Linked DNA regions of Coturnix japonica. The protein of the gene in region 1 interacts with the protein of each later gene in a biochemical or structural test. Links are inferred from orthologs where the notes say so. Each region holds a gene or a part of one and is shown on either strand. Other genes may lie near its edges.

Evidence for each region.
Region 2: the proteins of SLX4 (region 1) and EME1 form a complex in vitro, tested with the Homo sapiens proteins (3 studies listed by BioGRID, with this or other methods). The link is inferred for Coturnix japonica from reciprocal best matches to the Homo sapiens genes SLX4 and EME1.

Annotation. Positions count from the first base shown.
Region 1 is NC_029529.1:10,977,600-10,981,406, reverse strand, and holds part of SLX4 (structure-specific endonuclease subunit SLX4), read left to right. Parts: intron 1-580; coding exon 581-625; intron 626-744; coding exon 745-1,027; intron 1,028-1,308; coding exon 1,309-1,397; intron 1,398-2,629; coding exon 2,630-2,776; intron 2,777-3,189; coding exon 3,190-3,359; intron 3,360-3,807. UniProt on the Homo sapiens protein: Regulatory subunit that interacts with and increases the activity of different structure-specific endonucleases.
Region 2 is NC_029533.1:9,102,612-9,106,941, reverse strand, and holds the start of EME1 (crossover junction endonuclease EME1), read left to right. Parts: upstream 1-1,346; 5' UTR 1,347-1,388; coding exon 1,389-2,306; intron 2,307-2,508; coding exon 2,509-2,601; intron 2,602-3,059; coding exon 3,060-3,178; intron 3,179-3,613; coding exon 3,614-3,749; intron 3,750-4,239; coding exon 4,240-4,330. Other genes in the region: MRPL27 (39S ribosomal protein L27, mitochondrial), read right to left, coding at 72-278, 423-490, 922-1,044, 1,173-1,194. UniProt on the Homo sapiens protein: Non-catalytic subunit of the structure-specific, heterodimeric DNA endonuclease MUS81-EME1 which is involved in the maintenance of genome stability. In the complex, EME1 is required for DNA cleavage, participating in DNA recognition and bending.

The DNA.
Region 1 (3,807 bases):
CTTCTGTTCAAAAACTACTCTGTGTATGTACGTGTTTTATTTAAGAACTTTTTTCCTTGTTGGATTCCAGAGTTTTTCACTGTCTTATCCCTACCCAGAGCTGTAATAGAGGGACTCCATTCTGTGAGGATTTTTGACCTCTCACTCAAAAACACCAGAGACGTTTAAAAAGGAGGGAGACCTTTAAAATCAGGGCCATGTTTGCCCATCTCATTCCTTCCATTCTGAGAAATAGCTAGGCCATTTCTACTTAGAAATAAATAAAACTGTTTTCAGTGGGAAACAGAAGTCAAACCTGGAAAATATCAGCTCAGAGGTGAAAGTTTGGCTTTGTTACATGTAACTGCAAAAGTATTTTAGATCTCAGAACAGAAGCACCTGGGCAGCTTCAGCTACAGCTTCTGCCAAACATTTCAGCAATAATGAAATATTTAGATGTTGAATTGGGAACATTTCCACTATCCTCTCTCCCTCCTTGCCAGTTGCCTGCTCAAATATGCACCTTGTGAAACCTCTTTTTCTGTATTTTCTGTTGTAGTTCCCTTTTTCCCTTTTCCCTTTATATCTATCTTTTCTCCAGAGCGTCCTTCATAAGATGACAGAGTTTTTGCCTTGGAAGCCTGAGGTATGCTCTGTAATTCTTTACTAGATATTCTGAAAGTATGAACTAGAGACTGCATTCTGAGCTCTGAAAGTACACACAAGACTTAACTTATTGGTGTCTTATTCTCCTCTTTTGATCAGAATCATAAACCAGAGGATGTTCTGCCATCAGCAGGATCTGATCAGCCAAAAGGATCCCAGCAAATTCAGCCTGATTTTGGTTCTCATGAGTCCACTTGTAGAGACGTTAGAGACCAAATTAGTGATGAATCCAAGTCAGGCCCTGAAGGAGATGGGCAGATTTTATCTCACAGCCAGAAGGATATTCAGAACCTGCAGGATCTAGTTGAACTGGCCAAGGAAGGACTTACCCTTACTCAGTGGAAACTTGATGTTGGCCATACTCATGCAGCAGAGCAGTCAGGTAAGTTCTGGCAGTTTCATGAGCTCTGTCCCTAATCCCTTCAGCTACACAGATCCAAACTTTGGTTGTGCTGTGTCAGGAGAGCCATGAGAGCACCCACAGATTGTTGATGATCCAGGAGGTGAGGCCTGTTGGGACAGGCTGGGATGTCAGCCCCATCAGGCTCACTGTAGCAGCTGTCCTGAGGAACTGCTGTGGCAAAGGTTCTCTTAGGAGTTCTTATGTCACTCTGTCTCGTTAGGAAGGGGTACATGATTGTGATCCACTTTTTCTTCTTTGAGGAAAAGAACTGACTTCCAGTGATACTCCATGTACTGGTTTTGTCCCTTCACTTGAAGAGAGGAGATTCCTGACACGCAGCTGTAAGAAAGTAAGGAAAAACCTTTTCCCCATCCTTATTTTGTGTTTGCTTACTAATGTAAAGAGGAAACTATGCAGTTCATAGAAGTGTGGAATATTTCCAGTTCCTTTTTATAGAAACAGAGGTAGTTAAGGCTCAGAGTTGTGTTGTTCCAGGTGGAACTGCATCTCGTGCAGATGTTCTCTAGAGTAAGACTTGTGTTTCTTTGACTCTGCAACAGGCTTAAAAAGCACAAGGTCAATCCCTAGTGTGTTGTGTATGAACTGCTTTTCACTTGCTCATTCTCTTAACTGTGAGCTGAGGTTATTTCCTGCTTCTCTGAAGCAATGGCCACCTCTAGGGGCACATTTGCCTCGAGAGATCTGAACCTTATGAGAGTTGCTTGGGGTGAGTTTGTACTGGGAGCAGCTCCAGGGCAGAAACTGTGTACATCAGCCATGTGTATTGTTCCTGCCTTTGGCAGCATGCCCCCAGCCTCCTGTTGCCTTTGCCATTTGATATCACAGGTAGCTCAGGCAGCAAGCCCTCCCCAGACTTCCAGCAAGGCATTCTGGAGCTGTAATAGCAACTAGGGGGCTTTTGTTGTTATTGTTTGGGGGCTTTTTTGAGTGGAATTTTCAAGAGGAGTTTGTGTAACGAGCATATAAAATCCTTTGGGCTAGATAACTACATCAGTTTTATTGCATGTGAGCCCCTCACTGCAGAGCTGCTCTTCTTAGCTGTCACTGCCAGCCAATGGATGAGAGGAGAAAAGTTCATTACCCCATCACTGACTCATCCTCTTTCCTCTTGCTCTGATTACAATGAAGTGAGTTCCAGTCCATCAAAGAGAAAAGAACAGTTTTCTAAAATGTGGTGGAAGGCAGCAGATCAAGAGGCCAACAGGAGGCAGTGGCTAGACCGCATCAGGAAATGGTTTGGCAAAAATGTGATGGTGATAATGTGCTGTAATGCAAGGCAGAGAAAGCAGAGTGCAGCACAACTGCCATTTCTTCACAACTGCCAGACTGCGAAGAAGTAGAAGGGAGGAGGAAAACAAATCCAAAAGTGTCTTACAGATTTGTCTGCTTGTTGTACTTGAGTTGATAGTGCTGCTGGTTGTCTGCAGAAGGCAGTGACAGCAGATCCAAAATGGGGTCTGCAATACAGCGATACTGGCAGGCTGGGTATTCCTCTCATTCATCAGGGAGGTGTGTGACAGCTGTGATATGACTTGTCTTTGTGTTCATTCTGTGTTCTAGTCCTCCCTGAGGTCACTGGCTGAAGATTTCAGAGCAATGGTCAACAATCCCCATTTAAGTGATGTCCAGTTCCAGGTGGACTCTGGGGAAATCCTTTATGCTCACATGTTTGTGTTGTATGCACGGTGTCCGGAGGCCATTCAGGCTGTAAGTACTGCTGATACACTTCTCTGTTTTGCTTCAGTGCAGCCCAGACTGCCCACACCTACAGTCAATGCTGCAGGTCCTAATGGCAGGAGCCTGCGGACATGCAGATTCCCTCATCTTAGGAAGGCAGAATTGTGACAAAGTGATGGAAAACATACTACATTATCTGGAGAAATGATGAAGAGGCAAGGATCCTTACTTACATCCTGCCCTTGAGCAATACAGAAAACTTCCTAGGTGCTCTGTGCCTTTGGATGTTATATTAATACCGGTGCAGACTGTCTTCTCCATCTCAATATCTCCTGCCTTTCACCCAGGCTGGGAAGATTGAGTTCTGGGCAGTTCTACACAGACGTTCTGTCATTTTTGTAGTTGCTTTGTAAGTAGCTGCATTGAACTGTGTTTTTTACAAGGTTCACAGTGAAGGGTTCTTAGTGGAGGAGGATGGGAACGTGCAGATACGCCGTGTGTTGCTGAGTGATGTGACAGGAGAGGCAGCCCGTGCGTTCCTGCGGTACCTTTATGCTGCTGATGCTGACATCCCTGCTGAGGTGGTGCCCCAAGTGGGGGCTCTGGCTGCCAGGTTTGTATCGTGAGTTTGTTTTGGATCCCTTCTTGCTTTCAGCTCACAGACAGAACCTATACAGACCCCACAACCTGGGGTCTTCTGTTGTAGACTTAGTGGCTTAAAAATCCATAGTCCTATACTTTATAGCATCATTGCCTTCATCTTTTCCATGAGTCTCTCTTCAGATTGTGTCTTTGTGAGACTTCCTTTTTCAGTGTGCATCTATCACACCTTAGCCAAGAGTTTTGTCTCAGGCTCTGTATTGACAGCTGATGTTATCAGTGATGATGAGTGTGCCTAGCATATGTGATTCATAAAACATTACACTCTGTACATGTGTAAACTGAGCACTTCAGAGTGTATTGGGTGCATAGAACACTAATGTATTTTGTCAGCTATACTCTCAGTTGTGAACCTAGATGTGCACTAAGTAAAGTGTCTGAAAGAGGAACAGCAGGAGTGA
Region 2 (4,330 bases), on another chromosome or scaffold:
AGACAACGGTCCAGCAGCAGTGGTCTGTCCCAGCTGCCTCCTCCCATCCCTTCCTGTGTCACACAGGAGACTCAGAGCATGGTGACCAACTTGAAACTTCCTACTTCTGTGGTAGGGATGACACTGATGAAGGTTTTATAAAGAATTGCACCTTTGGGTAGAGCGCAGATCACCTCCCTGCTCTCGCTGCTGCGTGGTGGGGGTACGTACACCTCCTTAGTGTATCTCACAATCCCATCCTCCAGGGCGTAGAGTGTCTTGTTCCGGCCCATCCCCACCTGTAAAAGAGCCAGGTTGGTGTTAGAAAGTAAAGGCTGGAGGTCGTTCACCGCAGCACACCAGATGCTCTGTCTGTGCTGTGTGATATCCTGGCTTCAGTAGCAGCTGCTGCTTCAGGTTTTGAAATAAAGTTTGTTACTTACGTGAGCCCCTGGATGCCAGCGGATCAATCGCTGGGTGGCCAGAATGTTGCCTGCGTGCACAAATGAACCTGCAACAGAGCGGCAGAATCAGACCACAGAGAAACGGAGCTCCTTGAAGCCCTGAGGCTGGCAGAGGAACAAACAGTTCCAGGAATTAAAGAGCTGTATGTGGGGTTTGTCTATGGAAGAACCGAAACGCAAAAAGCACCTAAAAGAAAATGCCATTAGGAAACAGAGGGCAATTGATAAACAGTGGGGAAATGCAATTTTGGTCTTTGAGGAGATTGCTTCTAGAGCACAAGGTGTTTTCTATTTGCTGAAGCCATTTGTTCTATTACCTTTAACACCGCCGTGTTTCCATGAGCAAACTCACTAATTATTAAGCGCTTTGCTGCACTAATCTGTACTTTGGCTTCCCCACATCGTAACTCTCCCCTTTGTAAACACGTACAACGCACAGCGCCTTATTGCAGCGTGGAGTGTCAGTGCCCGGCCCCACCTTCCACTTTCTTCACCCCGTATCGCTTCCCGGGGCTGCGGCCTCCCAGGTTCTTGGAGCTGCCCCCGGATTTCTTGGAGGCCCATCGGACAGCGGTCAGCGCCGGAGGAGAGACCGACAGGACTGGAAGGGAACGAGAACAACAACACAGACGTGAAGGAACGTTTGGGGTTTATCTTTCCCGATTTAGAGGCTCCGTCCCGTCCCTCAGCACCATCCCGGCCCTCAGCCCCGTCCCGCCGCGCACTCACCCCGCCGCCCCCACGCCGCCATCTTTACCCCGCCGCCATCTTGCACCGCCCCGTCCCTTCCCCTTCCAGGGCGGTGAGAAGCGATTGGTCCGGACACAAGCGTGCACGCGCACTCGGACCAATCAGCTCCCGCTGTAGGCGCACGCGCTCGGGATCCGGCCAGTCAGCGCGCAGCGCGCCAAACGCCCGCTCCAACGGCCGCCCCGTGAGCGGGAAATGGCGGCGGCCGCGGGCAGCGCTGAGGAGCTGCCGCCATCCATGGAGGAGCTGCCGGCATCCATTGAGGAGCTGCCGCCATCCATCGAGGAGCTGCCGCCATCCATTGAGGAGCTGCCGCCCCTCGCTGCTCTGCTGCAGCCGCTCCCCACTGCCGGGTCCGCCCCCGCCGGGGCCTCGTGTCCCTCAGTGAGGCCGGGGGGCGGCGTCGTGGTGCTGAGCAGCGATAGCGAGGACGAGGTAGAGGTCGCCCCGCTGTCCGAGCGCCTGAGGCGGAGGCTGGTTCCTCCCTCGGCGGGTGTCGGGGCTGGAGCGGGGGGACGCGGCCTTTGTCCCAGCGATGGGCGCCGTGAGCTGCTGCTGGTGGATGATGGCGGGGACTCGGCTCTGCTGCCGCCCGACGGACGTTCCGTCAGCCCCGTTAGTGCGCCCGGTGCCGGCGGACACTCGTTACCGCCCGCAGCTGCTGTGACCGAGCGGCCCGAGGGGGCTCCGGGGAGCGGAGGACGTGAGGGAGCATCTCCCCCTCCGAAGAAAGCCAAGTACAGCCAGCAGGAACGGGGGGCGGTTTGCAGGGCGGGCTGCGAGAGGAGAAAGGAGCGGGAAGCGCGGAAAAGGCAACAGGAGGAGGAGAGAGAGAGGAGGAAGGTGCTGGGCCAAGTGCTGAAGGCGCAACGGCCGGGGCAGTGCCAGAAATACATCAGTGCCGTGCTGGACACAGGTACCGGGCAGCACGACCGGCCTCACGGCAGCTCCTGCCGCAGGAACCTGACCCGTGTGCCCATGTCAGCTCTCTTACAGCTGGAAGGTGGAGCACAGATCCGCGCTGCTTTGCAGGCTGCAAATTACTCGTGTGTGGTGGAGAGCCAGGCTGTGCCCTGCAGCGTTACCTGGAGGAGGAAGGCAGTGTTGGCTCAGGTGCGGGGACAACATCTTGATTCTCTTGCTGCCCTTTTCTTCCCACGTTGTTCGCACTTGATAATAATTGTTTTTAGCATCCCAAGCAAACATTCCTTAAACCATTTCCCTACCTCAAGTTGAGAGCACTGCTTTGATTTTGAATTGCAAACAGCGTGTTAGCTTGGCTGGTTTTTTTTATTGTTTTCCTTTATCTGGGCAGGCTGAGGATGGTAATGAATGGACAGAAGAGCCAAATCTCCTGGTTCTGCTTGGCTTGGAAGAGTTCCTGTCTATGGTTCATAGCTACAAGCAAGTAAGTCTGCTTACGAGTTTTGTGCTGTCTCAATGTGCTTTTCTGGAGAGGCAGCTGGTATTTGCTGTCCCTTTTCAGTTGGAAGTTATGATTTTAGTAAGTCATAAGTCTGATTTTTAGAAGCCTGTACTTGATTAAAAACACTGAGATTGTCTAAGGCAGAGTTCTGGCAAGCTCTCTTTCCTAGCTACTGTTTTTCAGAGGCTTTTTAAGAAGTAACATTATCTTAATAGATGTTGTCAGGTCAAGTATGTTGTGGGGCTTTTTGTATGTTTTGTTATTATTGTTTTCTTTACTGTAACTTGTTACTAGATGAAGCGCTGTCTGCTGGCACCTGAGGCTACAGGAGCAGAACTTCACTTATGCTGAGACTTAGCCGCAACATCGGGCGATACCTTGCTGGGCTTGTCTGTGCAACTCGGAATGATCCCACTCCTTTTTTCTATTGATCTTTGCAGGCGGCCCGGGGCTGTGCAGAACAGAAGGAGACTTTACAGAGCTTTGTAGCTCGTGTGATGGAAAAAATGCCTGGGAAAATTCTGGCTCTAACAGTTGTTGAAGTAGAAAAATATTTCAGGTTAGAATTTTTCTCCTCAAATATGTCGGTGTTGTTTCACTTAAAAAGGCAGCAAGTGTTTTACATCAATTCCTTCTGGCGAAGACTGGAGCATATAAAGAATTCCCATCCAGAACTGTCCCACATCTCTTACATAGGAACAGAAGCAAAGGTCTATCTGACTTGTCACCACATTGCCCAGTAATAAATATCTTGGGAAGTGTGCAAGGGTGTCAAAAGTATTCACAGCTACTTTCTTGAAAGGCTTTTGTGGCTTAAAAATAAATAAATAAATGCAGCAGAGAGGAATTTTCTTAGTCAGATGTAATGTTTTGTATTTAATAGACCTTCTCTACAGATTCAGCCTCTCTTAACACAGGGTGTTGGTACTGAGTTGTTTTATGTTCCACAGCAGCCCAGCCCTTCTGAATTCCCAATCTGATCTTCCTCTCTTAGATGTCTCAGAGCTCAGTCAAAAAAGAGACTGCAACAGACAACAGTGAATAGAAGCCAGGGAGAAGATGGGGGAGATCAGAGGAAGAAACAAGTTAATCATCCTGGCCTGGAGATCACCAGACTGGATGTGGAAGATGTGAGTAGAACAAGTCTGCAGTTGTTGTCTGCCACTACTTGAACACTCGACCCCATCACATGCTTTTTAGGACTGGGATCTTCAGCTTTTGTTGATTTATGTACAATCAGCAGAGCTCTTTTAGTTCCCTTCTTCTCAGTTATAAACCTGCTCTTTCATGGGCTAACATGCCTTGTTCACCTTGATTCTGGAAGTGAAAAATGAATCTGTTAGCATTTCCTGTACTTCATGGCCTACTGGTAAAGCCAATTGTTGCTGTCCAGGGTGAGTTGCCTGCATGTTATGGGAATCTTCCAGCTGATCTGGCACTGAATTACTATTAAACAGCAGCAAAGTAACCCTGAACACTTTGCCTTAAGCCGTTTCCAAAATAGGAATGGGTGTGACTTACACCAAGATGTTAGGACTGGTTGTTGTTGCTTCAGTCATGAATGGAGTTTGATGTAAGAGGATGAGTTGTTCCATCTGCTGTTTTCAATGATGTTTACAGGCCTTGGTGGATTTGCAGCTTTGCACACGTGTCCAAGTCACTTTTTTTGAGAGCTGGGAGGAACTTGGAGAGTTTGCCGCTATGTTCACAA